Linked DNA regions of Bombyx mori. The protein of the gene in region 1 binds, or shares a complex with, the protein of each later gene. Links are inferred from orthologs where the notes say so. Each region holds a gene or a part of one and is shown in the gene's direction. Other genes may lie near its edges.

Region 1 (6,617 bases):
CTACATTGATTCTACTCGCATTTTGTGAACACAACGCTCTTTGTCTCTTCTGTACGGTAATTTAATTTGAATTCGAAATTGCTGAAAACAGCTTTGCTTTCAGTATTTATCCTTAATGAGGTTTTTTCAAATCCGAGTTATAGAAATACATAAACTTAAACTCATTTGTGTCTTAACTACATAATAATATGTACATGCAACATATACCTACTTAAATTGGGGACTACTGTCCGAGAAATTGCTTATGAAATTGTATATTTTTAACTAATATACCTACTTGATCGTTATGTATCCCTTCCACTGGTTTAATGTTTCACCTGTTTCTCATTATGGTTCATATCTCAGTGTATTAGAAAAACTTCGTTAGACTTTAAGTACTTACTTTTATAAATGTTACACATTTAAAAGTTACCAAAAAAGGCAATACCAAAATAAAACCCAAAAAATGGCGATTGTGCCACATGCCTACGTTTTGATTTTTGTATATGTTTTAGATATGTATAAAATTAGAAAAATTATAAAAATGAGAATTTTTTCAGCTTCCATACATTCAGCATTTTGTTAGTAAAATAAAATAAAAGTATATCATACATAGGTATAAGTGGAGCCTAAATCAGTTAATAATACTTCTATGGCGTATTTGCAGTCGGATAAAATTAGTGGCGAATTGATTAGTTCTTTCCTTATTAATCTCATTCTAATTCTCATTCGGTAATTTTAACATTTTTTTGTACTTTTAATCTCTAAACACATTTTATTTACAACTTTTTAATAGTACATTGTTTTTTATAGGATAGAATGGCAGATGAGTTCACGGTCCACCTGTTATGTGCTTATCGGAGGCCAAAGACAGCATAACGTGAATGCCTCTAGGTATCCGTCCTGAAGCACGAGTACCTACTACCTATCAAATGTATAGTAGAACGGGTATCCCATCCTTTAAACCGAAACGAATTACTCCTTTGCGCCAAAAATAAGCAAGGTGGTGGTTCCTACTGTGGTATGAAAACATATCCTACTACCAGAAAAATATAAATATAAAGTATGTTCGAATATATAGGTACTTTACTAGTAATATATTTTTTTTACATTATCACAAGTAACATATCTAACACATGTTCTTAATAGATTATCAATACGATGACGTAAAATTGTTTAAAAAACAAAGAAACTTAGCTGTTGCCAATTGATACCAAAAATAGGCTACACCATTGCACATAATTAGCGTTACGAGCTCACAATACAATTATTGCACTATGATTTTATTACGCCCCATTACTCCTTCATAGCAGTCCGTGATCTTACCTATACCCAATTGTATCGAGTTCTACGATTATGCCAAGGCCTAAATCCTGCGACAGGTAGGTATAAATTTCTATAGAAAATAGTCGTGGCCTAAACAATAAGACTCAATAAGTCGCCCAGTGTACTCGTATCACGCGAGATAGAATATCAAACAAGATTTTATTTTATTTATTTATCGTATGGCATTCGTTTACACTGCGTGGTTATAATTTAAATTTACATTTTGTGAAATAATCGATAGCTTCTTCTGTTACATTTTTGAGATCTTCCACTTGGCTTGCGAATCTCGTTAGTGGGCATTCCATGACAATGTGGCGTATAATTTGCTCTGGGCATCCGCATTCGTTTTCCGTCCAGCCCCATCTCTTCCGCAGTTGATTACAGTGACCAACTCCCGTTCTCAGGTGGTTAAGCACGCACCAGATTGGGCGTTTTTCTTTGAAACCAGGTGGGCGGGAGTGTGGATTCAGCTCGAACAGTTCAGGTGGAATACATCTGGCTGACCATTCTTTAAGATTGAATATGCCGATGTTCAAATTCCGCAGACACGTATCATTTTCCGAAAGAAATATTTATTTAACTGAACTCGTTACGAAGGACTTCCGTGTTGAAAATGAAATAAAAATCAAACCGGTAAATTAGTTCAAAAGCACGCATCGCACGCTCGCATTTTAGTTTAAATCGTAGGTCAGCCACCATTATAATGCAATTGCTCGATATTGTTGGCCTATAATAGCAGAACACTATCTCGTCAGAGATAGTCCCCAACTTCCCCGTCTGTCCCGTCTTCCCAACCATTGAGGACTATAGGATTTACCGAAAAGCAGTTAGATGCAAATTTTGTGTCCTCATATTAAGGCTATCCGTGACCGCATCGTGTTTCTATTTGGCAGACTTTACCCGATGATCTGCAAGCGGAGTAAAATGTCCCTTCGTAAAAGGTGATACTATACAAAACTAGCATAGGTACGGCTAAGCATTAGCATATTAGCATATATAATATGCTAATGTAGAAACGTCTTATAAATATTATAATAATAACAATAAAAAACACGAGATTAAGCCTAAAAGATAGTTTCGATTCAGGATCGCCGCCGTAGGGCCTTGCGCCGAAATAGTTGCAGAGCGGAGCGCTATTTCGCAACTATTACGGTGCCGCGACGCAGCGGCTCGGCGCCATAACTTTCTCATCATGGCAGCCGCTAACTGTGCTCTTGATCCAGCTCATGCAAAACAAACTTACCCTTAACGTGTCCCAACAGATCTACCCGATCCACTATCAGTGCTGTTAGACGCTTTTTCGTGAAAATTAGCTAATAGAATCAACCTGCTTAATTTCTCGCCAAATTTTCTCACTATGCCGCGTTTTTGACCGAAATCTATTACATTATTGTATATTATTATTATAATATATTAGGTATTAGGCCCTCTCCGGGGGTGCTTCCTGCAGCTGTTAGCACACTTTTTCCTCCTGACTGAGCCTTACAAATTTAAACCTGAAGAAACACTAAATGGACAAAATAAAACAAATCACACAACTTCACTCCTCGCGTTCCCGCCAAAAAGTCCAGTCTCAATAAATAACCACCATTTTACAGAGATTATAGTTCATCCTATATCATCTCATTTCATTTCATTTCGTTTTCATTTCATCCCATGTTTCATATCAATCAACATAATTTCATTTCATAATATAATTTTGCATATAAAAAAGATTTCATTCAAATTAAAATAAGACTTGTCTTAAAGGTCTTAGTTACCAGGTCATAAAATCCCTTAAAAAAGGTGTTTGTATTTTAGTGATCAACAGAACTTAATAATTGTGATCAATTTGCTAGTTCAAGTATCTACTATGTTTATGTAGATTTGTGTTTTACTCCCAACATTAATATTAAAAGCTTGTGATGTGTTATAATATACTTTCATAATGGATATTGAATTCATGAAACCAGTTCAACCACACGTTTTCAAAGCCCTAAAAGATGTTGATATTCCGGGTCTTATGAAATGTAGTCCTGATGAAATAAGACCCATAATACCATGTCTTGTCCGAATGGCCTTGATATCTCCATTAGATATCACCAGATACTGTGCAGAAGCTAAGAAAGATATACTTACACTACTTTCAGGCATTGATTTAGTAAATTTCATAGTTTCACTTCTATCTATAGAATTTCATGTTCTAGAAGCAGATGTAAAAAAAGAACAACAAATGAGGTAAATTTTTTGCTTGACAAAATTAAGTTGAGAATTAATTAAGTCTAATACTTCTTAACCTGATTACCAAATTCATTTTTGTTTTCAGGCAAAAAAGTGGATCGCAATGCATTGAGTCAACACTAATTCCAAATATAATTAATGGTATTGCAAGTGATTTTGAACAGTCTGATTCTTCTAGGAGGGTTCGCCTTGTTCTATCAGAACTATTACAAATGCAAGCACAATTAGTTGAGTTCAATCAGACAAAAAATACAAATGCGGATTATACAATTAAGCCCTCTGAATTATTTGATAATGATGTGTATTTAGAAGAAATCACAGATGTTATATGTATAAGTTTAGCTGAAATACCGAATTTACTAAATATCTGTGATGTGGTTGAGGTTCTCCTTTATGTAAATAAGGGCCCTTCTATAATATCATGGGTGGTAGCAAATCAACCTGACATGTTGCAGGAAGGTAAACATTTTTATTACAACTTCTCTTGGTTGTTCCTTCATTGTTCAGAATTGTAACTTTTTTTATTTTTTTATTGCCTTTGTAGGCAGACGAGCATACGGCCCACCTGATGGTGAGTGGTTACCGTCGCCCATGGACTTCAGCAATGCCTAGGGCAGAGCCAAGCCGCTGCCTACCGCAGAACTCTTCTGTTCTGCAGTCTCACTGTTTCTCTTCATCTATTCATATCTTTTGCTTGGTGGAGAGCTCCATGTTCCAGCATTTCTAGCTGCTGAGTAACATGATCAGACCATCATTTTGATGGAGGCTCAAGCCTTTCAGGAAGGCTCTGTTTTGTTGTTAATGATGAGCCTTTCCAGGTTTTAAGGGTTCCTGTGAACTATGTAACGAAATTATTGCAGCACCTGATGTATACACACAATTGACAGCTGCTTATTGCAACATACTATGACAAAAATCTTATACTATATGTATAATTCTGTTTTTTAAAATATGTCATGTAAATGCTAAATGTTGCCTTACAGTAGCGGAATCACTTGTATTAAATGCTGAACGAAGTGAAGAAGGTGGCATCAGAGCAAAGGCATTAGCTACCTTATGTGCTGTATTTCCACCTATTGCTGCCACCATAAGAGCAAAAGCAGCATCTGCTTCACGTCTACCATCTTTAGTCATTAATTTAACCTTGACTCACCATGAAGATGATCTTGTAAGTTATTATTAAAATCAATTTATTAAGTATAATAATAAATATTGAACTTAAAATGACATGACATGTTTATTATTGACTATGTTATGATATTTGTAATTCATAATAGCTGAGATAAGCAGTTGTGTCAATTATGTTCATTAATTCAATATGATTTCAAAGTCCTGTACACTTTGTTTTAAATGGTTCTGTATATTTTTAGGTGTCATTTATATCAGGTCTGTTACTTGGATCTGACCAAACTACTAGAGGATGGTTTGCTACATTTTTACGAAATTCACACAAAAGAGGTAAAGGTGATGGTCATGCTGCATTGACAAAGTTAAGACAAGAATTATTAATTCGTCTAAAAGCTGCCACAGCTGGAGTAGATGCTTCAGCTTTACTAAGATTGTACTGTGCATTGAGGGGCATTGCCAGTATTAAGTTTCAGGATGATGAAGTAGCTTGGTTACTAAGACTAGTGACACAGAAACCTCCCCCAACCCCTGCTGGAGTCAGATTTGTCTCATTAAGTCTATGTATGATTTTAGCATGTCCATCCTTAATGGGTAAGATTTATTTATTTTACAACATAGATAAATGGCACAACCCATCTGGTATTTAGTTGTTATTGGAGCCACTAGACATGTGCCACCATCAGAATGTGAATGCCACCATTCATTGCATGCATTGAGTCTGAATTGTATTATATAATGACTGTCCCATCTTTCAATCCAGAATATTTGACTGCTTTAGGGCTGAAATAGGCAGGATGATAGTACCTACCTCTGTAGGCTCACAATACACCCTGCTATTTACCAAGAAATTGTAAAAGAAGACTTTTCAAATTATGAGCAGTACTAATTCTAATTTAATTGACTATAATTTTAGCTGCTCCAGATCATGAGAAAAAAGCTATAGAATGGGTCCAATGGTTGGTAAAAGAGGAAGCCTACTTCGAAAGGTAAATTAGTTCTAATATTTTATTATATATTAATTCTTATTATACTTAATACTTATATAGTCTTAACTAACTTTAAGTAACTTTAAACTAAAAGTAACTTTATTAGTGTTGTTAGATTTCAGCAGCGCTTTTAACTCTGTTGACTTCGATGTTCTGCTCGAAATACTCAAATCAAACAATATCTCCTCGTCTGCTATTAACTGGTTTGATAGTTACCTTCGGGGGCGCTCGCAATGTGTCCGTCTTGACGAGACTTTCTCGGATTGGCAGAACGTCAGTGCGGGCGTTCCCCAAGGTGGTGTTCTTTCTCCTCTTCTGTTTTCTGTGTTTATAAACTCTGTCACTAGGCTTATATCTTCTAAATTCCACCTCTACGCAGACGATCTCCAGCTATATTGCCACTTCTCGGAGCCTGAAGTTGAATCGGCTATTGCTGCGATGAACAGTGATCTGAAGTCTATCAGTGAATGGGCAAAAGCCTACGGTCTGCACATTAATCCGGGAAAATCACAGGCTATCATTATAGGGGGTAAACAATTGCGCAGTAGACTCAGCGATCCTATACTCCCCCCAATTTATTTGGATGGGACTCAAATAACTCTAACCGATTCAGTTAAAAACCTGGGTGTTATTGTAGATCGACATCTTTCGTGGAGTTCTCACGTTGCTGAGATTAGTAGGAAGGTGCACTTTGCCTTGCACTCGTTGAGATGTCTGCAGGGCTTCTTACCTCAGTATACAAAAATATCTCTCGTCCAAGCTCTCATTCTACCCATAATTGATTACGCCGATGCCTGCTACTTGGATGCCACTGAGGAGCTCTCAAACAAGCTTGAGAGGATGCAAAATCTATGTATCCGTTTTATATACAATCTCAGAAAATTCGATCATGTTTCTCATTTTCGCAAAGAACTTAAATGGCTCCCTATACGCCTTCGTAGGAATATTCGAATATTATGTCTCCTATTCAATATCCTA
Region 2 (5,123 bases), on another chromosome or scaffold:
CGAGGACGGTGACCGGTGCTTAAGGTACCTAAAAGCACCGTTAGTGGATCGGGAGGATCCGTAATGATCACTGACCGAGGCGAGTGTGCAGCACGCGGAGGCGGTGGTGTGCGCAGTGCGGGCGGCGGGCGCGGGCGCGGTGTGGTCCCGGGGTGCGTGGTCGGGGCGCGGCACGGGCGCCGTGTGCCGCGTGTCCGTGTCGCCGGCGTGGCGGCCCGCGCCCGCGGACCACGCCGCCGCGCTGCCGCTGTCCCACCGCCTGGCGCTCAAGCTGGAGGGCGTCATACTGCCCGCGCGCCCGCTCGCGTGAGTCCGCGCATCTACATAACTACATAAACACAAGGGGGGGGATGTAGAACGGAAACTTACACATAAATGTAACTCCCTGTACGACTTGTTCCCGCGTTTATCAAATCGTCACTGTCAAACCAAAATCTGCTATGTGCCAAAACTCTGTTTTGTATTAACGAGTAAAAACATTTTCGTATACAATTTTATATGAAGGTGAATTTTTAAGAACTATATCAATTAAAAGCTATAGATAAATATTAAAGCTATAGACATATAACAGTTTTTTTATACGGTAGATAGGGCCGTGAACTATACGAAAAGTTCAAAAAGTAAAAATCTCTAAAAGTTCACATAGCAGATTTTGGTTTGACAACGACGATATGTCACATGTTCGTTCACGCGTTTAAAACACTCACAGTAATGTAGTGACATTAACAAATAATTCAATGTTAACAAAAATGCGAGATTAAACAGTAAAACGGTTTAAATTAGGTATATCAACGTCTAACAAAAACCGCAGACAGTGCTAGGAACCGGCGCGGAAGCTTGCAGCGTAGTTATTTATCTGTCTGTTTGTTTGTTTGCCGACACCCCCGAAATTACTGAACGTGTTTGCTTTTTTTTTTTTTTTTTTTCTTTATTGCGCCTGTAGGAAGACGACTTTATTGGTGGTAGGACCTCTTGTGAGTCCGCACGGTCGGTGGTGGTCCACCTTGCCTATTTCTGCCGCGAAACAGTAATGCGTTTCGGTTTGAAGGGTGGGGCCGCCGTTGTAACTATATTGAGACCTTAGAACTTATATCTCAAGGTGGGTGGCGCATTTACGATGTGGTTGTCTATGGGCTTCAATAACTACTTAACACCAGGGGCTGTGAGCTCGTCCACACATCTAAAAGTTTACTCCATTCAAATAGCTGAAAAAGTTTTTATGTCGTGTTTTTTTTTAAATTTAAACTGCATGTTTCTCCTGGAAAGTTTCAAGAATATCGCTTAAACCAAATAGCTGTTTACCCGTCGATATGTATCTCACAGCAAACGTCAGCAGCAGCGACAAGTTAAAGGCGTCCAAATCACGGTGACCGCCACCCAGCATCCGAGGACCAACGAGAAGGTACTGATTACATTGTTATACCACGAATTAATTCCTAAGGTCCACTCGGATAGAGGCTCTACTGAGGTCTTCGAGCATTGTAGATCACCTAAGGTTTCAGCCATAATTACAATATCGTCGACAACCCGAAGGGGAGTTGTATGTTGATGCCTAGCCCGTTCCAGTCCAGAACTTTGAAAGCATTCTCCAATGCGGTGGTAAATGGTTTCGGAAAAACAACATCTCTCTGCCTCTCCGCTGCAGAAGGATGGGTTCCAATGCCCCGTCCTGTAATCGGACTGACATAGTAGCGTATTCATACAAACACTTCAACACTTCGATATACTGGTAATCAATTTGGCACCGTTGGAGAGACTGCAACGCGGCCCAGGTCTTAATCGAATCAAAGGCTTTCTCGTACTCCACAAATACTAAGCGTAGCGTGGATCCGGTCATCGTTCTCGCCGAACCTGTCGGTTGCGACGAAGGGCTCGGCAAGTAAATTAATCCACAGACAGCCCACTGAGTTTCTCGCCGGATCTTCTCAGTGGGTCGCGTTTCCGATCCGGTGGTAGATTCTGCGAAGCACGGCTCTTGCTAGGGTTCGTGTTAGCAAAAACGTCAGGTTTGAGCCCCGTGAGCTCACCTACTAGCCCGGTGACGGTGATATGGTTTCTCAAAACCATCAGCTTAGGTATGAAAAAAAAATGCGTGGGTAGGCCTCCCACAAGATGGACAAAGGAGCTATTGAGGTTCGCGGAGATCCGCTGGAAGCAAGCAGTGCATAACCAGTCGTGGCGAGGTTTGGGGGAAGCCTCTGTCCAGCAATGGACGTCTGTAGTCTAATAGTAGTAATTCCTAAGGAAGTGTATGTATTACGGTTCAGTTTACTGGGACACGCTTTGTGCCTCCATGAAGAGGTACTGTTACGAGATGGATCCAGGAGCTCTTTAAAAACAAAAGGAAACTGTGACTGACATTCAATTTATTTTATAAAAGAAATAGTACAAACGATGTGTGTTTCCGCTACTCGAGCTAATTCTGTTCTGCGGCGTTTTAACAATAAATCGTCTTTATATAATGACGATGCATTCAGGAATGTCTTAGTCTGCATTATTATTGAGAGGCATATTAGGTAACAGTACTACCGTACTGCCCATTTCTACCGCGAAGCAGTTGAGACTTCGAGCTCACGTCTCCGGCGCCTCGCCCCCGTCCCCTCACAGTCCCCGTCGTCCGCAGACGGTGGAGCTGACCAACGTGCCGCCGGTGCTGACCGCAGTGCAGACGGTCGCGCCCGTCCGGGACTTCTTCTCCGCCCAGCAGCTGGTCAGCGTGCCCAACCCGGGACTGTACACGGTGGCCGTGGAGTCGGCCTTCGTGGACGAGCGCGGCCAGCTGTGGAACACCGGCCCCAGGACTTCGATTGTCATCAAGGTAAATGAATGACGCGTAGGAACTGAACGAGACTTCAGAAAAGTTGCTGTTTTTAATATAGTGTTTATTTGAGGGAGAAAGCTCCGTCTGTTCTCAAGGATATTGTAAAAGACGACCTAAGGATCCGCCTGAGAATGTATAACACAAGTGTGGTATACTGAGACCTTAGAACTTATATCTTAAGGTGGGTGGCGCATTTACGTTATAGATGTCTATGGGCTCCAGTAACCACTTAACACCAGGTGGGCTGTGAGCTCGTCGGCCCATCTAAGCAATAAAAAAAAAACTGGAGATATTCTAGTGGCTATTTTTTACAGTAGCAAAATGCGTTCCAGTTTGAAGAGTGGGGCAGCCGTTGTACTGTAGAACTGAGACTTAGTATAACGGTAGGCAGCTGCTTGGTTCTGCCCCTGGCATTGCTGAAGTCCATTGGCGACGGTAATCACTCTCCATTAGGTGGGCCGTACGCTCGCCTACAAGGGTAATAAAAATGTACGTAGACTAATTAAATCGAACTGTTTCCAGGCTCACGACGATCCGAGTCCGAAGGTGTCCAATTCGCACAACAGCAGAGGAAGGTTTTGATCCTGAGATTTTGCTAATGTTCTTTTAACAATGTCGCGATAAGGAAAGTTAATATTAATAAAGGCGATTAAAGCGTTGTATGGTTTTATTTAATTGATTTGTCAATGGACATCGCAAGAGCACAGAGTGCCATTCCTATCCTCTATTTCTCCTCCCCAGGAGCGTTAAACTTTTAATTAAGTCGCATTAGAAGTTTCACTTCAATAAAACATTGATAAAAACGAAGCCTCGATCTAGAGCGGCGACAACAATGAGCAGCGCTCTGGATCCAGACCTGACACTGATTACACTATCGCAGTGGAATGACCAAAAATTGCGACGCATTGCCGATAACGGCGGCGGTGAGTGCGCGGCGCCCCGCACGCCACAGTGCGCGCCCGGCCGTCGCCGCCACGAAATGTTACCGATTTTCATTTTACTATACGTCTCATCCGCCAATTCCCTCTGCGATGGCACGTGCTTCTGTAACTATAAACACGCAGATCAAGACTACATGGGCGAAACAGTCGACTGCTCCCACAGAAACGTGGACGCCAAGGTCAATTTAACGTTACCCAAAACGATATATTCATTAGATTTGTCATACAATAATATAACATCGATAGATTCATCAATTATATTCGATTCATCAACTATGGTCGAGCTGTATCTGAATCGCAATCATATTGTCAATCTAAACTGTTCCTTGGCGTTACCTTCGTTGAAGAAGTTGGACTTAAGCGACAATTCAATTAGCAAAATCGACGGACACGTTTTCGATAAACTAAAGAATCTAGAATATTTAAATTTGGCCAACAACAAATTTACGTCTCTTGATAAATTGACTTTTCATCGATTGACGAATTTGAAGGAAATCGTTTTAGACAACAACGACATAGGCGAGGAGCTACGACGAGTGAATTTGTTCGACAGAAGCGGCTTGGGTTTGACCGCGAAGATCAGGTCGCTCAGCATTCGCGGCGTGAAGTTAAATCGAGTGCCAGACAACTTCTTTGTCGACGCCTACGATATTAGAAAACTCGTTATATCAAACAACAATATAACTGACGTTTTCGAATTTCCATTCACTTTAGAGTACTTAGATATCTCAGATAACCCCATTGAAATTATATCCAGTGAAGACTTCGCAGATCTAGCCGGATTGAAAGTACTCAAACTCAATAATTTGAAAATTACCGAAATATCCGGCTACATGTTCGAACCATTACATTCTTTGACGTCTTTAGAGCTGGAACGGAACATGAATCTGACGAAATTCGATGCGTTTGCTTTCGGCAAAGAAGTCCTAGAAGATGCCGACTATTTCAATTTGGAAGAGTTGTCCGTGCGAGGGTCGAGATTAACCACACTGGACAAGAGATTGATGGAGCCATTTGGAAGACTCATAAAGCTAGACTTACAAGGAAACGCTTGGTCGTGTGACTGTAAATTATATTGGATCAAACAATTGCAAATACCTGAAGAATACAGAGACCATGTGAGGTGAGTTGGGCACACAGAACAAGGAGGATGTCAGGGAACAGTTTTTTTTTATTGCCCTTGCAGGCTTACGAGCCCACATGATGGTGAGTGGTTACCGTCGCCCATGGTCGCCAGCAATACCGGAGGCAGAGCCAAGCTGCTGCCTACCGTTAAGTACTCCCCACAAGCCCCGTTTGAAGAAGGACATGTCATAGCGCTCGGGAAACACCATGAAGTTTGCGTTAAATTAAATTATATT
Region 3 (6,172 bases), on another chromosome or scaffold:
AAAATTTGTACTTACATTATTCAAATGTAACTTAGGTGGGCGGTCTACCAGTGAACATGGCGCTTGTAATAATATTAAAACATTCAATGAACAATTCATGAACAAAAAATCGTCGTAAAAATTCGTTAATGTACTATACATAGTTATTATGTTATGTAATATTTAAATAATATGTGCGTATTGTGTTGCTTTTGAAAAACAAGAGAAGAGAAATTTGTAATTTAAATTTCTAAATTTCTCTTCTCTGTTCACTTTCTACTTATATGTGATTTTGATTGTGGAAACATATTTGGTTATTGTTTTAGCTATATTTTTTAAAATATTATATGTTTGTATTGTACTGTTTGTTTCCAAAAAAAAAAAAAAAATTTAAGTTATTGTACCTGCAAGTCCCCGGTGGCAGTGACCGTACCTCGGTGTTGCAGCGTGTTGCCGGTGCAGTGCCTGTGCGAGTTCCTGTCGTCGGGCGGCGGCGCGGGGGAGGCGGGCGAGGCGGGGGGCGCGGAGGGGCGGGCGGGCGAGCTGTGCGCGCACGTGCGCCGCACGCTGGCGGCCTCGCCCGCCGGGGCGCGCGCCGTGCTGCTCTACTACGTGCAGCGCCTCGCGCACGCGCACAAGCACACGCGCGCGCGGGCCTCGCGGGTAACTACAAACTCCGTTAACATTGAGGCCGAAACAACTGCCTTAGTTCCCGTTGTGTGCATGCCATCGGAAGAGAGAAGATCATGATTATAAAATATTATTTCATAATTTTGAAGGAAATAAAATATTGTTAATTTTCTAGGAGTGGGTGATATAAATCGTATATAGATTCAATATCTATATATCGCAGCAATATCGTTGAATCCGATATCGCCCCGCACGAAATCTATATATCGATATCAGCCGATACACGATATTGCTCGATGTGATGCGCATCGGCATCGTGGCATATCGTACCGATTCGTGAATCGAAATCTATATTTCGATATCAGCCAATACACGATATTGCTCGATATGCGCATCGGCATATCGTACCGATTCGTTAATTAATATCAGCAATATTCGTTTGGTTCGTATCGAATCGGCCAGAGTGAGTGAGCGCACGATAGGGATATCATGTGATGAATGAAACAGAAACAGGCATTATCCATACAATTCGGCTGTCCAATTTCAAAACCTAGTATCTGACAAATTTAAAAAAAGTGTGTTTTTGCATTTTTCGACCTTGTAGACCATTCTCCACATATTAGGATAGCAAAAACCCCCAAAAATTTGTAAAAAACGAAGTTACACAAAGTCGGAAACCTAGTATCTACAGTAAAGGTTTTCAAAATGCAAAAATTACAAGATTAGAACATAGTATATAACATCAACCATTTTAAAAACCTAATAAGTGCTTGTAGTTACTTGGATTTAAAATGGTTCATGCAGATACTAAGTCAATGAAATTGTTGAAATAAACGTCAAAACTCTCGCGAAACTTTAGTAAGTGAGAAAATCGTTGCACGTCGTTCGTGTTTTTGTCTATAAAATGAGTAAAAATCAGTTTTGTAGGTCGAAATTGATCTTGAATGCTTTAAAAGAACAAAATGGTAAAATGTAAGTACGCTTCAGTGTGATTTATTATTGTCAAGGTTTTTTGTTTTCCAAAATTGCAACCTACTACGACACATAAAGCAAATGAAGGTGCAAATATTCCAGAGGATGTTAAAACTGCATACGGGGATCACAAAGCTAAAGCAAGTAAAGCAATACAAAAGTATCAAGAAGATGCCTCCTTAGAAAATACTTCCTCTGTGAGATACTATTCGATGGATTTACAAAAAGTTATGTTGTTACCCGACATGCCTAAAGTCAAGGAATCGTTTTTCTTGAGTAGAATGATAACTTTCAACTTGACATTTGCACCAATCAGAAAGAAAACTAATGTTAATAATATTTGTATTCTATGGCATGAAGCCTATTCTGGACGAGATGCTCATGACATTGTTAATGCAATTGCAGCAATGATCGAAAAAGAAAGAGATTTGAATCATTTGACATTGTGATGTGATAATTGCACAGCTCAAAATAAAAATTGGATCCTCTTTACATCACTTGTTACTATAGTAATATCTACTATAGTAATAATCTCTGAGTTTTTCAATTTAGAAAGTTTGACTTTGTAATACCTACCTAACTAAAGATCACACACGTATGTTAGCTGATGGAGTTCATGGCAATATGGAGAGGCAGATTAAAAACAAAAGATGCTGTGTACGATTTTGAAGACTATAAGAATGTAATTTTGGGTTGCAGATCGCATATTGAAGTTATCGAATTCCAAAAATCGTATGAGTGGGTAAAAAAGAAACGCATACTGCGACGCAATGATGACCTTGTTCCCATTAATAATTTGTTGCTTAGTTCTTTGGTTGAAGTAATATTTGTAAATGGGTGCCGTAATATGTTTTATAGGAATGATTTTGAATCTCCGTATTCCGAGTTGGATTTTCTTATTAAAAAACACTATCCCTTGATCATGCCAACCTTAAAAAATATTCCAAGAGGCATTAACGAAAATAAAAAGGAAGGCATAGTAACAACTTTATTTAGCTTATGCCAATGAACAGAAGTTTTGGAGAAGAAGTTTTGGCTAAGTGTACCGATTAATAATAATCCAGTTAATTTAGTTTCTAGTGGACAATTATTAATAACCGAATAATTTATTTTTATTTGATTGTTTTCAAATATTTTGAGTGATTATTTTTTGATTTTTTACTGTAAACAAATAGTGTTTGGTTTCCGATTATGTGTTTTTTTTTTTCTTTTTCATTAAAACTGCTTATTTCTGCCCATATTTATGTTGTTTTATTCTGTTTTTTCTTACTATGTTTATAAAATTGCATTTAGTTCCTACTCAGTAAATTCAGACCTAAATGAAAACAAAGCAAGTGATCTTACTAAGTCTATTAATTTGCGTTTATCCCCACTCATTATATTTTAGAACTAGATGAAAACAAAGCAAGTGATCTTACTAGGTTTTGAAATTGTCACACTCAAAAAGTTTGATCTAAGAGAACAATCTTTTTATTAGTAACTGCTCCTCTACGCACATCTTTTGTGATAGACGCATGAAATCTACTTTTTTATAAAGCCTGTTATGTACCTCAAATTTTGCAATCACTCTCAAGAAGGTACGACTAATATTATTGAAACGGCACGCTGTCAAAGATATGAAATTGTTTTTCGGCTCTCCTGTAAAATTTAGTTTTATGCAGATACTGGGTTTTGATATTTCACAGCCGAATTGTAAACCTTATATTTAAGTCCATAAGTCTGTAGATTATTCTTAGCGTATCAGCAGGATACAATTTAGGAAAGAAGTTTCAACTTTCGACCCTAACTTGAATACAGTATAGCCTATTTGCATCGTTGAATTTAATTTCACGCGCTTTGACCTTGAACTAGAATTTTTGGACAAGTGTTTATAAATACTTAAAAGTTTTTTTTTTTTTATTTTTAAAGTACACATTTTTCTATTTTTAGTTGAATCCAAATAATTGAGTTTATTTCTTGTGTTTGTATTAAACTTTTGAAATCTACACTCTTTTGGTATATTTTGTAATTTTAAATTAAGACACAAAATACTAAAAACTGAAAATAATGTAGCCAGTCCTAAGCCTGGTAAAAGCATGAAGGAAAGTTTTTTTGATATTTTTATTTTCATGTTCTTTTTATTACTTTAAGATCATATTATAAATTGATATCAGAAAACCAACCGTATAACGTTGACTTAAATCTATATCTACTACGATATTATATCAGCGTAACGTTTCAAATCTCAAATATAATGAATCGGAAAATCTACTAGCATCCATCAATATATAGATTCAGAAAATATATAGATTCAATATCCGATATTGATCCTCGATATATAGATACGATTCGATACGCGGCAAAACCGATATTACCCACTCCTATAATTTTCATTTATAAAAACTATGTCACAAACAATTAAGCTCAATATCATTCAAAAAATAAATAAATCATTCATTCATTCATTCATTCATTTTGCACTAGGGCCTGAAGTTGGTGCTGAGTCAATCCTCAGAAGACACGAACGAAATGGATTTTAGCGCCGAAGTTAATCCCGAGTGAGTTTGATCTATTCCTTACACCTCTGTAATACAATGTCAGTAGAAAAGAAGCTAACTGTACCGTGGATCTGTCCGGAACAGAGAGTGGCTGGAGCTGCTGTGGGAGCTCCGGCACTGGGAGTCTGTCCGCGAGGAGGTGGTGGCGAGGATTCGGGCGGCGTGCCTGGTGGAATGCATCCCGAGGCACGTGGCCGCCTACATCGACTTCCTGGCCAGCTACGCAGCCAAGACCCCCCACAAGCTGCATACCGAGATCGTGCTGGTACGTGTCGCTGCAGACGCGATGATAGTGTTCACTGGTGTAGGGCACGCTACAAGCTGCAATCACGCATATTAGTTCATAGGGTGGAACAGCCTACTATACAGTTGAGACTTCGTGTGTCAAGATGGGTGGCGGCATTCACGCCGTGATGTCTATAGACCAGCGGTAGGGGAACTTTTTTAATTATTACCCCAAAATATTTTTGTGTAAGTTGATATTACCACGTGGCGAAGAACAAAAAAAAACGGAATCGCTTCTTTTTAGCATCTTTCATATTATAGGCACCGTGATAATTTTGAAAAAAAATTTTTTTTTTTTCGTTTCATTTCATTTCGTTTCATCGAGTTTGAAATCACAACGATTCTAAAGAAGTTTCACTTCAATATATACTTTTTACTCACAAAAGTTTCATTTTTACCCCCAAATATTTCATTTTACCCCATTTGGTGTAATTTACCCCGGTTCCCCGACCGCTGCTATAGACCCTTGTTACGTCAGCTGGACCATTGAGTCGTCTGTAAGTTTACGCCAGTACAAACGTCCTCACACCTACAGGACCTCTGCCAAGTGCTGATGGAGCGGTCGACAGTGATGAACAGCGTCCTCGGCGGAGCGTCGGGCCCCTCGCACCCGGAGCAGCATCGGACGCTGCTGGCGCTCACTTCGCTCTTTTACGATCATCTTCAAAAGGTGACAAGCTCATTGATTAGAGTGAGGGGACCACCCCCCTGGCGGACCCGGGGTTCGTCGTGTAAAGCTGGCCTTAAACGTATCCACTTGTACTTCAATTATCTGTGCATTCTTATAATGATCGAAGTTCGACCATAATTACTGAAACCTTAGGGTTTAGATTACAAAACAAAATTAAATACACAAATGAAATCGTTCGACAGAGGAAAATATGGTAGTTAACTGTTTTCTCTTTACATATCTATATGTGCAGTAATCATTTCAAAACTCACTTAGATGCATTTTTTATATGTATTAAATATGTATTGAATTGGAACTTGGAGAAATTGGTGGTCACTGGAAAGGTCGAGGGCAAGCGACCAAAAGGCAGGAACCCGATCCGTTGGACGGACCAGATTCGTGCAGCCCTTGATACCACAGTGCACGATGCTCTGCACTCAGCTGCAGATAGGAACAGATGGCGGTGCATTATAAAAAACAAACTGTTTCAAGGCCATGACCACGACCCTCAGTAATGAGGAAACCGACGCAAGGAGGAAAATATGTATTGAATTACGTGACAATCATCTGTTAACTCAGGTCCGCAACAATACCTTTCCCGAGGAGGAGGAGGGCGAGGGCGGGTGGCCGGGGGGCGATAGGATCTCGCTGCAGTTCTCCCCGGGGCGCCGCACGGACTTGCCGCTCGTCATAGCGCATGCGCACCTCAAGCTCTTGTGCTACGGACCCTCTGCTAGTGAGTGATGTTGTGGTATCTCGATAATATCTGCTACGTCAGAACACGATTATAGTTTAGTTTTTGATCTCTTTTCAAAGCCATTAATAACAATAAAAAATGGTACGCGTGGAACTTGGTGCACGTGAAAGAAATGAAACTTCTTTTGCGATATGTGAAAGAAGTGAAACTTCTTTTGCGGTATGTGCAAGAAGTGAAACTTCTTTTGTGGTATACAGTATTGTGTTTTTCTTCATTTTTCATTCTTAAATCAAATTTTTGAGATTAAATGCTGTGTATAAGAGAAACCACCTAACTCGCTTTGTGCTTTCCACGGTCTACGGTCGAGTTGTCCGCGAGACGCTATTTTCTCAATTTCGCTCT
Region 4 (6,796 bases), on another chromosome or scaffold:
ATCATGTACTTCACAATCTTTTCCAAATAATAGGTCCTGAACCAAAAAACTATTAATTTGTAAGCAATATCGAGATAATTTCGATATAGACATTTCGCTGTCGGACTTCCTTACTAGTCGCGGCGGCGAACGTGAGTACCCGTGGCCTGCAAACGGTGCTGCGCGAATGGTCGCCTCGTCCACCGCTTCGCTGTTCGCACCGCCGATCCCCGTGGCCAGGCCGTAAGGTTGAGCTCGTGAATTCACCTGTTGTTTTTTATTTCTTAGATAGGTGGATGAGCTCACAGCCCACCTAGAGAGAGTATTAAGCGGTAGGCAGCGGCTTGGCTCTGCCCCTGGCATTGCTGAAGTCCATGGGCGACGGTAACCACTTACCATCACGTGGGCCGTATGCTCGTCTGCCTTCAAAGGCAATACAAAAAAAAATTGTGTTAAGTGGTTCCTGGAGCCCATAGACATCTTTGACGTCAATGCGCCACCCGCCTTGAGATATAAGTTCTAAAGTCTCAAGTATAGTTACAACGGCTGCCCTACCCCTTAAACCGAAACGCATTACTGCTTCACGGCGGAAATAGACAGGGTGGTGGTACCTACCCGCGCGGACTTACAAGAGGTCCTAACACCAGTAAACCTACCAATCTGCGAGTAGCTGGAATAGCCCCTTAGGTTACCAGCGATTAGGTATGTACTTACCAAAAAAGCCTCGAGGTGTTATACTAGATTCATCGAGCGAGCAGACGAGTTCACGGGGCTCAGCCTGGCATATTTGCCAACACTAGTCCTAACCAGACCAGTGCTTGGCATAATCTACCACCGAATAAGAAACACGACTTACTGAGAAGATCCAGCGAGAAACTCAATGGGCTGTATCAGGGGGTTATTTTGCTTGCCGAACCCTTCGTGGCATTCGAAGAGTTGAACGAGAACGGTGACCGGTGCTTGGCAGTGCCTAAAATCACCTATAGTGAATCGGAAGGATTCGAAATGACATGTTTTGGGTGACAGCGAGCGTTTACCGTTCGGTCTGCAGCATTGGGTATATCGGTATGTACTACTTGCCGGCGGCCACAATAAAAGTGGATTATCGTATCGAGCCATTTTCTCGAAGTGGTGCTCATACACTGTCATCATATACGGAAGTATGGAAACAAGTTCCAGGTCATCGGGAAGATCCACATTCCTCACGAACCATGGTTCTCCGACGGCTATCCTGCAAAAACGGAATGAAATGATTTTAAAGGTGTTTAAGTTAGTGCAGGCCGCGTTATCTCGGCGTGCCGTGCTCGAGGCGTGGTCTCGCCGCCTGGCGGACCCCGCCTACGGGCGACGGACCGTCGAGGCGATCCGCCCGGTCCTCTCGGACTGGGTGAATCGCGACCGAGGACGTCTCACCTTCCGAGCGACGCAGGTGCTCACGGGACACGGCTGTTTCGGTCGCTACCTGCACCTCGTCGCCCGGAGGGAGCCGACGCCGAAGTGCCACCATTGCAGTGGCTGCAACGAGGACACGGCGGAGCACACGCTCGCGTGCTGCCCCGCTTTCGCGGAGCAGCGCCGCGTCCTCGTTGCAAAAATAGGACCGGACTTGTCGCTTCCGACCGTCGTGGCTGCGATGCTCGGCAGCGATGAGTCCTGGCAGGCGATGCTCGACTTCTGCGAGTCCACCATCTCGCAGAAGGAGGCGGCGGAACGGGAGAGGGAGAACTCTTCCTCCCTCTCGGCGCCGTGCCGCCGCCGTCGAGCCGGGGGTCGGAGGAGGGCGTTTGTCCAGCTCCGGCCCCTATGAGGAGGCAGTCTCCTCCCGGTGATGGTCACGGGGCGACCTAAGGGGGCTGAGACTGCGCCGCACGCTACCGTCACTCTAGCGCGCTGGCACCAGGAGGACGGGACGACGCGTCGGCGGCTGCGGACTGCGATGCGGTCCGCATTTTCGTCGTCGCTGTCGTCGCCGAACATACTGTGGAAGAGCAACCCGGTCGGCGGTGTATCGCGTTCCGACCCGGCAGGCTGGTTCTGGCCCAGCGGGGTATCCCGGAACACCAGCGGCATCGCCCGGGCGGCCTGAAGGGCCGCCGTACCGCGGAGACTGACGTCGTTGGTCGTCGACTATCGCCTCGACGACCCGTCGGTCGGGCGTCCTCGGGGTGGCGCCGCGTGTCTGGTTGTAGTGTTGACCGCGGGAACCCCCCTACTCTGACCGGGTTTTGACCCCGGACGGAGATCGGACGCCGGGTGTAAGAGTGCAGGGGAGTCGTTTAGTGGGTGGGCCTTAAATTCCTTGGGCCCGCGGTCTGCTCTCAACACCTGCAGATCGTTGAGTCTCACATACCCCGCGCGCCCCCTAGGCGTGGGGACCTCGTAGGATGTTCGGCCCTCGGCCCGGAAAAAAAAAAAAAAAAAAAAGGCCGCGTAAGCGAACACTACACTTTCATAGGTCAAGACCAGACGTATGCAAGTTTGTTGAAGATGATTAATTTGAGACATTAATCAGCTGGGATGAAATTAAATGAAATGAAATGAGATCATATGGGATGAAATATAATCTCAGTAAAATGGTGGTCATTTACTAAGATTTTTTCAGTGAACTTTTTGGAGGATCCCGAAAAGTTACGTCCAGCGACTTTGTTTCATTTTCCCACATTTGTGCACTTTCACAGATATTAAACAGTTAATAAACCAACATTATTACACATTTAAACCTGAAGAAACACTAAATAGACAAAATAAAACAAATTACACAACTTCACTCCTCGCGTTCCCGCCAAAAAGTCCTGGCATAACTTCAGTTTCAGTGATAGATGGTCACAGACTACTTTAACGAGTAGTTTTGAAAGCTTGGTCCATAGATTATTATTACCAATCATAACACCAATTTTATACAAAAACAAATACATTACATTACAGAAATCACCATCTGGAACTGTTAATAAAATGGCTGCAGTTTTAAAGAAGAGAGCCCTGGCAGAATACAATAAATCATTTCAGGTTAGTATAATGCAGTTAGATAGTTTTCTATATTTGAAAGTGAAATGTCTAATGAAATTAACCTAACTCTTCACTACAATATTTACACCAAAGGATGCTCCACCATCGAAGAAGCTGCATTTGGCAAAGAAGCCGTTAATAGGTAGTTCTGCTGCTGCCTTTGTGGGTCTTCTAGAGAAATGCAAGTCCAGCGATGAAGCGTTGCAGTTTTTACTCAGAATATCCGACTGTCTTCAGTTCCAAGAGTCCGACGTAGAGGAAGCAATAAAGAAGTTGTCAAAACATTTTCAGTCGGAAGAAGAGTCTGTAGTCAGAGTAAAAATACTATGGCTTTTTTGTGACATAGGCTTGGAGGTTCCCTGTGCAAACTTGAATAACTTGATAGATGAAACCATACATTTAATAAAAAACGAAACGTCACACAAGGTAATTTTATTATATTTTTGTATTTGTTATAGACTGTTAGTGGTTCAATGTTCACACATTTAGGTTTTACTGGAGCTCTTATGCTCTGTGAATTCCACCACCCTCTTTGAAACTTGAGATTGTAATTTCAATTGTTAGCAGGAAAGTATAAATCCTTCTCAGTACCTAAGGCTCCAACATTCTCAACATTTTACTATTTTACAAAGTTTTTTTTTTATGTATTATGTTATAATTTTCTGTACATTGCAATTGCCTGAAGTGTTAAAGACACAACGTAAATAATACTGCTTTTACATTTACATTCTATTGTTTTTGACTTTTAGAATAAATTACAATTTTAGTGTTCAGAGTCATCCTTAAAACTAGTTTTAAATATATCTAAAAATCACGAAAACTGTAGAAATACTGGATGTGATCAAAACAATCTATTCAAATTAACAAATAATGTTATGTCTTTACTTCTTTAAAGCAGATAAATTAGTAAATAATGTAGTAGTAATGCTTTTCTTTTGTTTGGTAAGGTTTTTGCTGCTGATATTTGATAGATTTTTTTCTACAGGTTATCGGTCAAGGAATAGCAACACTGACAAAACTTGCCAAGAAATTGAGTGACGATAAAATTTTAATGATGAGGCTAGTTGGTGTTGCTAAAGACAATTTGAAAGATACTAGCCATCAGGTGAAATGTAGGTGTCTACAGCTCATCAGTGAGTTGTACCCTATACATCCGGACTCTGATAGAACATCTGAGATGACAGCAGAGGCTGAAGCTATTGTAAAACTTCTTGGAGATTATTCTAATTCTGAGGTATATTGTATATTCATAATTTGGTGTAGCTGTATAGTCATATTTTATAGTACAATAATTTAAATGTTTTGACTGCATAGTTATTATAAACTGCTGAATAAAAAGAAAACAAAGAAGTAATATAAATACATTATTTCAAACACCATGCATCACTTTAATTATTACTCATAGAAAATAAATATATAAATCACATAGTTTATTAACATACAAAATATCAGGTAAGCAGAGTTAGGATTGAAAACTTTCTGTTTAAAAACTTTTTTAATTTAGGATGCCAGAGTGCGTTGTGAAGCATTTCAAGCACTGTTAACACTTCATCAAAGAGGACAGATCTTAGGATCTAATTTGTACGAACATGTTTGTGTTGCTCTGTCCGATGACTATGAAATAGTAAGAGAAGTTGCCCTAAAGTTGATTTGGGTACTTGGAAATAAATACCCAGAAAAGTAAGTACTCTAATTTTTTTTTTTTTATTCTTTAATTTTAAATTTATTAGTTCACACACTAACTTGTAAAGCTATTATTACCTAAAGTTTGTAGAATAATAGATTGCACATTTGAATGCCCACCATCTTTAACACTAGATTTACCAGCCATTTAAATATACGTATTTCTACCATAACCAGTCAATATGACTGGTGTATAAAAAAATGCTTAACTGAGTTTCCAGTCTTTATTCACTCTTAAAAAATGGTAAAAAGAATTCAACAATATAAATTTTTATACAAAAATGGATTTATGGACATTTTCAAATAACAAAACACTTAATTTTTACAGTTTATCGCTCACAATTTCTACAGATGTAGATTTTGCTTTTTGTACACTTTCCGCATAGACTTTTCTTGCATTTATTGCAAATATTTGTAGTCTTATTGTTATTGCAATATCGTATTTGACACCATTTGCGCACAGAAACCGTGCCAGCGGTAGTTGATATATCAGCTTCGTGTAGTTTTTGCCTTGAAGTCTGATATTCTGAAGCAAGTTCTTCTGCTAATCGAAACAGAAAGTCTTTCCGTGAGATATTTTCCTGTTGTGTTTTTGTATAATATCCAGCTATTTATTCCGGCTAAATCTAAAATATTGAAAAACACTTGAAGTGGCCACCTTCTGCAACCAGACTTCACCGTATATTTTCGTGCCATTTGATCAGTCACATCGACGCCAAATTTAGTTTTATTATAAAACAATACAGTTTCAGGTATTTTTTAGCTGCTTTATCAATTTTGATGTTTTTATGTTTTGTACTTAGTAAAAGTACTTTTTTATTACCACATATTTTGTTTCTACATCAGACGCTAACCAAAATTTGATGCCAAATTTATGGGGTTTGTTTGGCATATACTAAGTAAATCTGCATCTGGCCTTCGTTGGAAAAAGTTGCTCATCCACAGTAATAGAAGCTCCCGGTTTGAAGCAATTTTGACTGTTTTCAATAAATTTATCCCAAACTGCTGAGACTAAAGCGAACTTGTCTGTTTGCAAACGTTGACTCCTCTGATTTCTTTTATCGAACCGAATGTATCGTAAAATATCTGTAAAATCTCGTCTACTCATAGTGCTAGAAAAAAATGATGGTCCCCATTTTTTATTCCACAAATATTGAAGTCTCAAAGTATTTCCTTCGTATGCCCCACGTGCGTACAATATTACAAGAAATGCCTTCAATTTTTCTTGCGTGATTATCCAGGTTTTCCCCAAAACTCGAGAGGCTTCTAGCTCTGTACAAATTTTCGTTTTGACATTTTTAGGGGCTAAGGATATGCAGGCTACTTGCTGAACAACATATATTTGAATATTTTTCAAATACTCATAAATGTTTATTACGTGTCACTGTATGGGTAAAGATGAATGATTACGTTTGGAGATCGCTTGGACTAAGTACTCGTAAAAAAATCGTATAGATACCGTAATCGCCTAAATCGGCTCGATAACGATAACGTAATGAACAAAAGAAGCATGGGCACTATTTGTATTTTCACGGTCTCATGATTCTCCCGAAATCATACATTTCTTCCTAGAAACATGCACCAGTCATTTTGACTGGTTCTGGTATAAATAGTTATAACAAAAAATATATTTGTTACTAACATTATATAAAGTAAAATTAAGTTCATAAAATGTATTCTCTACTTATACCTACAAAAGTTATAACATCAATTTGGAAAGCAAATATTTAATGTAGTAGTCATTTTGAATTGAAGTTGCACGACCAGTCAAAATGACTGGTCTGGTAAATCTAGTGTTAATTAAGCAATTGTAATAAAGTTAATATGTCGGCAACTTTTTTTTATTAAAAGTAAATAAGAATAAAAAATTTCAGTAAATAAATAAGTATATATAAAATATTTTAAAAGTCTGCCAGACTGTCGCTCCCTTCGAGAGCCACCAGGAGAGTTTATTTTTATAGTCAAAAAGTATGTAAAACAACACTCGTTTTTTTTTTTAAATAATGTTATTGACTTTCTTTGCAATAAAAGTCTTACATTGTTTACATGATTCATGATCACCATAACTTTTAAGTTCTATTTCAAACGTTTTTTAATGTTATTATTAATTGATTATAATTAAGTGAAA
Region 5 (6,950 bases), on another chromosome or scaffold:
CTATTCCGTGGCTGCAACAGTATCTCCCACTGTTTCCTAACTAGCTCCCTAGTCTCTGGTAGTTGGTTCAGTTGCTAATACTAATACTATTTTCCTAATGGAGAAATTGTGTTGATATGCCTTTTTTGTTATCGATGTGCTTCAGCTAAAAAGTAAAGAGAAAGCAGCGCTTGTGTATTGTTCGGATTACAGCAATGAAGTGGCGTCAGTCTGTGCTAACACTGCGAACTTGTCTGCTCTGTCGTCGTCTGAGGTTCACTTTGCCAAATTAAGAATCCGTATAATTAGTTTGCACCACTGAAGTATGAAACCTATCTATGGTTTGCACATGCATTTTTATAATGATCTGCTCTATTTGATTTGTAAGGCAGACAAGGCTATTGTCCATCAGGTAGAGAGCTGTGACGTTCTCTGATGACAACGGCGGTAAAGCAGCTGCGCACCGCTTTTTCCTGTACTAAATAGTCAGCGAAAGGTCCATAGAACATGTAGATGTAGTGAATTGTATTGGCATTCGTCACATTTGTTTTAATTTAATGCGGAATTATTTTCCTTATCATGAGGACTATATCTATATATATATAAAAATGAATTGCTGTTCGTTAGTCTCGCTAAAAGTCGAGAACGGCTGGACCGATTTGGTTAATTTTGGTCTTGAATTATTTGTGGAAGTCCAGAATTATTTGTGGAAGTCCAAGGTTTAAAAGGTAGATAAATATGAGAATGTTCGGAATTAAATAAAAATAAAAATTTTTGATGTGTCCCGCGTCGGACGGATTCCTTTTATTTGTTTTAAGTTTATTTTATACAAAAGTTTAGGTCTTTTATTTCTCGATTGAGGCACTACGAAGTCTGCCGGGTCAGCTAGTTATAATATAAAACCACGGATACCATATCACCACACGGATATAAATAAAATAAAATTCTTTTATAAACCGAATGCATGTATGTGTGTATGTACGTAGGCCTTTGACTGTATTCCTAACCTAGGTTTTTATGTTTAATAAACTCCGCATCCATTCACGGACCGGTTATTATTATTCGACTCGACTGTGTTATGTACTTACCTAGCGGTTGTACAGAGTTGTGTTTTTTTTATTGCTTGGATGGGTGGACGAGCTCACAGCCCACCTGGTGTTAAGTGGTTACTGGAGCCCATAGACATCTACAACGTAAATGCGCCACCAACCTTGAGATATAAGTTCTAAGGGTCTCAGTATAGTTACAACGGCTGCCCCACCCTTCAAACCGAAACGCATTACTGCTTCACGACTGAAATAGGCAGGGCGGTGGCACCGCCCGCGCGGACACACAAGAGGTCCTACCACCAGTAATTATGCAAATTATAATTTTGCGGGTTTGATTTTTATTACACGATGTTATTCCTTCACCGTGGAAGTCAATCGTAAACATTTGTTGAGTACGTATTTCATTAGAAAAATTGGTACCCGCCTGAGATTCGAACACTGGTGCATCGCTCAACACGAATGCACCGGACGTCTTATCGCTTAGGCCACGACGACTATTCTTACACTTACACTGTATACATATAAAATATATAATTACCTACAACAACGTAACAAATGTTGTGTACAATAATAGCATAACGGACTTGGATATGACTTCCCACCAACATAATTTATAATCTGAATTGACAAGTAGATAATCTAATTTTTATCACACTAAACTTGACTGGAATAACACTAGGTATATCTGCTATACAGTACAGTATAATAATAACAATGTATTTCATGGTTCATAATATATTACTTACCAAAGGTTTTACAAATAGCTTAATAAATAGACATACCCGATCCTGTGGACCGAACGGTAACAAGTCGACGTCGCTCTAAACACGTCATTACGGATCCTCCCGATTCATTATCGGTACTTTTAAGTACACACCTCAAGCACCGGTCACCGTCCTCGCCGAACCCGTCGCTTGTGACGAAGGGCTCGACGAGTAAATTAACCCATAGACATAGCACACTGAGTTTCTCTGCTCTTGCTAGGGCCAGTGTTAGCAATACTTCCGGTTTGAGCACCGTGAGTTCACCTACACGTTAGGGCGAAGCTGAAATAGCCTCTCACGGCTATCAGCATAGGTAGGAAAAAAAATGGACTAGAGAGTGATACGGCTAACTCTTTTTCCCGAGGAATGCAAATGCAACGAGTTTCATTGTTTCCGAATAACAAATTCAACGAATATGGAACCGTAGTACAAATTTTGTTAATTAATGAATTACATTTAATATCGTTTGTTTCATTTTACTTTTACACAACAGATATAACTCGTTTGTTACAAATATTTAGTTGTATGTATTGAATATGCTCCCTTTGCCTGTCGATTAAAACAATCAAATGCTTATCTGACAGATAATATCTGTAGGTAGGTAACTAGAACCTACCTACCTACATAATATAAATATATTTTGTTTAGCTATTTTGAAAGTACTTATGTACCTAATATTCATTTATTTCAATTAATGATGTTGTACAGTTATGTATTATCTATGCAATACACTGAATAAACGGTTCATCAAACCTAAGCAAAAATAATATTGAAGCCGGACAAATTGATAAAGCAGTTACTAATACATAAACATACTTTAGTAATAAACAATATTCGTCCGCAAATTCGAAATATAATATATAAACTAATAATGAAGCTTGTAAGTATGCAATATCTTCACTAATTTATTCAAAACACTTGAAAAATATGTAAGAGTTGAACTTGAAACACAAAATACAAAAATAATATTAGAATTCATACTATTAGAAGATTGTGTTAGAATTAAACCTGCAGGACGCGAAAACAAACCAAATTGCAGTGGAGTGCTCCATTTGCAAGTAGTTTATTAATATAGTAAATTATTTTACAAGAACAGCCCATACGTTTTTACTGTAATGATATCCTGGGTAGAGAGGCAGTCTCCCACATCCCCACAATTTTTACATACAATTTTGTTTAAGTGATTATTTCATAGCTTTTTGGGATATGAACCTAATACTAGAGACTAAAGGCACCACAAGATGAATGATACCTCTAAGAATTTGTCCCTCTCTTCTATTGAAGTATTGATTGCTTGGATCCAATGACTAACCAGTTAAATCGGAATGCATGATTGTGTCTGAACAGAAATAAGTAGAATGGTTTGAAATTGTCATAAATCATTCTATGTGTACTCTAAGATCACAGCTGTTATACAGGTACTATAGGGACAGAAAAATAGGTGTGGCTTTAAAATACCAGGATGGCTCCACTATTCTGGCATATCTGTTTAATTGAGCATTACCATATGGACCCCTGACTTATAAATAATATAACCAGTGCTTACCTTAAACAATGTTTGATTTGATTACAGTATTGTTTAAGCAATGATGCAGCGAAGCCTTGCTTTGTGTTGTCTTTCAAAGAGCTCCTCATAATGTTGGATTGTGGGCTGTCATCCCACTCTGTGCTCAACTTCCTACCGCTGCCTCCAGTGCCTAGCACTCGACTCGCATCCCTGCCTAATTACACACCACCACATCACAATGATCCACTCTTGGAAGGGGTATAAAAATTAAGCTTATTACATTTCTTATTATCATTATTTATATATCAGTACCTAGGTATAAAGTGGTTACTGGAGTCTCTGGTCATGACAACATTATTACCACCACCCACCTTGAAACATGAAGTTGAATTCTCAGTTGTATTGTATGATGGTTGTTCCATTCTTCAAACAAGAGGCAATCACAGCAAAAACAGACAGGATACTGAATCCACCACTAAATATGGTATAGTCAGTATGCTGCTTTAATACTCACAGAATGCTTATTCTCTGGTGAATCCATTAGGTACAGTCTTTAAGCAAAAAAACACATTTCATCAATTAATTATTTTATATACAAACATTAAATTAATAAAAAACTCAAAACTCCTCATTAAAATAATTTTTAAACTTATCCAACTGTATCTCTCAGTTACATTACACGTACCTTCCAAACTGCATTCAACAGATTTCTGATATAAAAAATCAAAGGGACTCATATTTTAAATCTGACTCCAATGCTATGATTAAAAACCCTATGTCAAATAAGTAATAACATGTTAAATTTAATGATATTTCTTTATAATAAAAACAGAATCAATATCAGGTGATATTTAAACTAACCCATCTCATTACAGGAACTAAAGGAGTGTTGCGGCAGAGTGTTTGTTGATAGCATGCCTGAGTTTTGTCCGCCTCTCGATAAAGTAGTCGATTTTTCTCAGCTAGATGTAATTTTAATCTCAAATTACACTTGCATGCTGGCCCTGCCTTTTATAACAGAAGATACAGGTTTCAAGGGCCAAGTGTATGCCACTGAACCTACTCTACAAATAGGAAGGTATTCATTCTCTATTCTTTTTATGCCTTCAAAAGTATAATGATAAAAAATATACATTTCTGTATTGTATATATGGTTATAGAGTATATAACAACACCATATTATTGTAAACAGAATATGCTTATTGAAAGTACAGTATCAGAATGGATTGAAGCAGCAGAAAGATGTAATAAAGATAATATATTTGGAGGTTCTACCTGGAGGAGCTGTCGGAGTGGGTGTGCTCAAGCGGGTCGGGGTCGGGCTCGGCCAAGCGTTGGAAGGAGGCGGTGCACGTGCTGCCCGCCCCCCTCGCCGACGTGGTGCGGCCCCGCGCGTGGCGCCGCCTGCTCGCCCCGCACCACGTCGCCCGCGCCCTCGCGCGCGTCCGCGTGGTCGGCTACGACGAGAAGGTCGACCTGTACGGCGCGCTCGACGCCACCGCCGTCAGCTCCGGCTTCTGTCTGGGCTCCGCCAACTGGGTGCTGCGCTCCGCCCACGAGAAGGTCGCCTACGTGAGCGGCTCCAGCACGCTCACCACGCACCCGCGCCCCATCAACCAGGCGGCTCTGCGGGGCGCCGACCTGCTGGTGCTGGCCGCGCTCACGCAGACGCCGGCGCACAACCCGGACCACATGCTGGGCGACCTGTGCGTGCACGCCACCGTCACGCTGCGCGCCGGCGGCTCCGTGCTGTGCCCCGTGTACCCCAGCGGCGTGCTGTACGACCTGCTGGAGTGCCTGTCGGCGCACCTGGACACGGCGGGGCTGGCGCACGTGCCGCTGTACGTGGTGTCGCCGGCGGCCGAGGCGTCGCTGGCCTACAGCAACATCCTGGCGGAGTGGGTGTCGGCGGGCAAGCAGGCGCGCGTGTACCTGCCCGAGGAGCCGTTCCCGCACGCGGCGCTGGTGCGCGCGGGGCGGCTGCGGCACGCGCGGGACCTGCACGACGACTCCTTCAGCGCAGACTTCCGCCAGCCCTGCGTCGTCTTCTGCGGACACCCCAGCCTGCGCTTCGGCGCCGCCGTGCACCTCGTCGAGCTGTGGGCCTGCAACCCGCTGCACGCCATCATATTCACAGGTACGCAGCCCGCTCTCCCGGCTCGATTATGGTTTAGGGGACAATTCCAACTGGTCGCGGACGAGTAAATGAGCACATGGGCTCTACCAGAAAGAATGTGCCAACACTAGTCCTAGCAATAGTAGTGTTTCGCAGAATCTACCACCGGGTCGGAATCGCAACCCAAGAAGTTGAAGGTACTCAATCTACCGCTGAGTTAGTAAACCTGGTAAGTGGGCGCCGCGCGAACTGAACGATCGTTCGCGCGACCAACGCGTCTAGGTGCCAAGGTACTTCTCTGTGTAGAAACGGAAGGGATTTTGAACCGCATTGTCACTTACAATGAAAAATAAATTCTTTTTAATAATCGTAAGCCGTCGCCCTGTTAGTTAGACCCTGCTTTAACCTTGGCGTTGCCACAAACGAAAACACCCCTACAAGACGATTAGGGGAGGAGAGGGTTGGAAGTTTTTCAGTCATTAATTTGGTAGCTAAACACAACACAGCACAATTTCCGACACTTACCAACCAGCCTTCCTGAAGAGTGGTACCTCCGTCCTAAGAACTGTCATTCGTTTTCGTTTACTACTTAACGTCAAGAGAATATTTCTAAATTGTTCTAAGACAACAAACGTGATTGGTGTGCTCAATATTCCTCTTAGCTCGATTACCCTAATCGCCCCTACGATGTCTGACGATGGTGTTAATAATTGTCTTCTCCGACAAATAATAAAATGACTTTATTTTTCTGTAAAGTAGCCGGCAATTTTTTTTATTGCCCTTTTAGGCAGACGAGCATACCGCCCACCTGATGGTGAGTGGTTACAGTCGCCCATGGACTTCAGCAATGCCAGGGGCAGAGCCAAGCCGCTGCCTACCGCAAAATGTTGTACCTATTCGTACGTATATACTGTAGATATCAGATATCGATGAACCTGTGTGCGCTAAAATGTTTTCTGCTGTAACCGCTACTGTACCAACACTGTTGGCTCGGGTAGTTCTCTTTTTAACCTACTCCAAAAACCTCCATTAAGAAATCGAATATCATTAGAGAATGCAAAACACAATTGTTGTTAAATAAATAGTTTATGATAACGAGAGATAATGAACGATAAGAGACACGAGCCGGGCGGCAAGTCTCCGCCTCGCCGCAAAAAATGACCAAAGGAGACGGAAAATCGTGGGCCAAAAATGTAATAACTTGGAATGTAGTCTAAAAAATTTGTCATATTTTTTTATATAAGAATATAAAAAATCACCTTAATCCTCTTTCTGGGACCGGAGAAAAATGAGAAAGTTAGTTTTTGTCGGTATAACGGTGTGATCGATTTAATTAATCGATTACAGGATTATAAAAAGAAAAACATTGCACTAGGTAATTAATGCAAAGTAATTAAATGAGCGATTTATACTAAACTTGTTGTATACAAGTGCGGTATACGCCGGATTTAATTGCGATTATATACATAAATGAAGAAAAAGTCTATTATTACTTAACGATCGATAACGATTATCGATTTCAAATCGATTAAAAT

Evidence for each region.
Region 2: the proteins of integrator complex subunit 2 (region 1) and integrator complex subunit 7 are in contact, whole or in part, in a cryo-EM structure (PDB 8RC4), measured with the Homo sapiens proteins. The link is inferred for Bombyx mori from reciprocal best matches to the Homo sapiens genes INTS2 and INTS7. Residues at the interface, in NP_065799.2 of Homo sapiens: Gln27, Lys28, Val29, Cys48, Arg51, Met52, Cys55, Ala56, Ala58, Asp59, Gln60, Ser61, Trp64, Phe92, His93, Ala186, Glu187, Pro189, Ile194, Val218, Asp220, Ser221, Asn223, Glu224, Ser259, Leu262, Lys263, Arg265, His285, Gly294; in NP_056249.1 of Homo sapiens: Leu38, Gly39, Glu40, Cys42, Glu43, Val46, Arg47, Asn77, Phe78, Leu81, Cys82, Leu84, Lys85, Gln88, Gln89, Asn114, Asp115, Pro116, Val117, Ala120, Ile121, Arg124, Val153, Glu156, Val159, Phe160, Ala163, Leu195, Lys196, Pro199.
Region 3: the proteins of integrator complex subunit 2 (region 1) and integrator complex subunit 1 are in contact, whole or in part, in a cryo-EM structure (PDB 8RC4), measured with the Homo sapiens proteins. The link is inferred for Bombyx mori from reciprocal best matches to the Homo sapiens genes INTS2 and INTS1. Residues at the interface, in NP_065799.2 of Homo sapiens: Pro40, Leu54, Lys69, Leu72, Arg73, Leu75, Ser76, Gly77, Val78, Glu79, Val81, Asn82, Val85, Gly125, Thr127, Leu128, Glu131, His132, Glu166, Val172, Tyr173, Glu176, Arg322, Gln325, Gln326, Arg329, Gly400, Lys402, Thr769, Met772; in NP_001073922.2 of Homo sapiens: Gly561, Ile562, Ala563, Trp564, Asp565, Lys566, Gly567, Ser982, His1055, Met1056, Thr1058, Pro1060, Glu1095, Arg1096, Thr1098, Ile1099, His1102, Leu1107, Arg1225, Ser1250, Phe1251, Gly1252, Ile1253, Tyr1285, His1288, Glu1291, Val1292, Gln1293, Glu1295, Arg1296.
Region 4: integrator complex subunit 2 (region 1) and integrator complex subunit 4 share a complex: the UniProt entries of both Homo sapiens proteins name them as parts of the integrator complex. The link is inferred for Bombyx mori from reciprocal best matches to the Homo sapiens genes INTS2 and INTS4.
Region 5: integrator complex subunit 2 (region 1) and integrator complex subunit 9 share a complex: the UniProt entries of both Homo sapiens proteins name them as parts of the integrator complex. The link is inferred for Bombyx mori from reciprocal best matches to the Homo sapiens genes INTS2 and INTS9.

The regions. Positions count from the first base shown.
Region 1 is NC_085110.1:8,304,813-8,311,429, reverse strand, and holds the start of integrator complex subunit 2, read left to right. Parts: upstream 1-2,938; 5' UTR 2,939-3,232; coding exon 3,233-3,522; intron 3,523-3,610; coding exon 3,611-3,984; intron 3,985-4,508; coding exon 4,509-4,693; intron 4,694-4,895; coding exon 4,896-5,244; intron 5,245-5,566; coding exon 5,567-5,639; intron 5,640-6,617. UniProt on the Homo sapiens protein: Component of the integrator complex, a multiprotein complex that terminates RNA polymerase II (Pol II) transcription in the promoter-proximal region of genes.
Region 2 is NC_085129.1:14,683,025-14,688,147, forward strand, and holds the end of integrator complex subunit 7, read left to right. Parts: intron 1-91; coding exon 92-306; intron 307-1,323; coding exon 1,324-1,402; intron 1,403-2,623; coding exon 2,624-2,818; intron 2,819-3,343; coding exon 3,344-3,403; 3' UTR 3,404-3,479; downstream 3,480-5,123. Other genes in the region: TLR4 interactor with leucine rich repeats, read left to right, coding at 3,654-4,885. UniProt on the Homo sapiens protein: Component of the integrator complex, a multiprotein complex that terminates RNA polymerase II (Pol II) transcription in the promoter-proximal region of genes.
Region 3 is NC_085131.1:780,166-786,337, reverse strand, and holds part of integrator complex subunit 1, read left to right. Parts: intron 1-425; coding exon 426-642; intron 643-4,044; coding exon 4,045-4,118; intron 4,119-4,202; coding exon 4,203-4,383; intron 4,384-4,938; coding exon 4,939-5,073; intron 5,074-5,652; coding exon 5,653-5,809; intron 5,810-6,172. UniProt on the Homo sapiens protein: Component of the integrator complex, a multiprotein complex that terminates RNA polymerase II (Pol II) transcription in the promoter-proximal region of genes.
Region 4 is NC_085121.1:12,654,857-12,661,652, reverse strand, and holds the start of integrator complex subunit 4, read left to right. Parts: upstream 1-2,809; 5' UTR 2,810-2,931; coding exon 2,932-2,985; intron 2,986-3,078; coding exon 3,079-3,411; intron 3,412-3,970; coding exon 3,971-4,219; intron 4,220-4,489; coding exon 4,490-4,665; intron 4,666-6,796. UniProt on the Homo sapiens protein: Component of the integrator complex, a multiprotein complex that terminates RNA polymerase II (Pol II) transcription in the promoter-proximal region of genes.
Region 5 is NC_085111.1:139,975-146,924, reverse strand, and holds the start of integrator complex subunit 9, read left to right. Parts: upstream 1-2,372; 5' UTR 2,373-2,663; coding exon 2,664-2,672; intron 2,673-3,365; coding exon 3,366-3,557; intron 3,558-4,174; coding exon 4,175-4,377; intron 4,378-4,567; coding exon 4,568-5,436; intron 5,437-6,950. UniProt on the Homo sapiens protein: Component of the integrator complex, a multiprotein complex that terminates RNA polymerase II (Pol II) transcription in the promoter-proximal region of genes.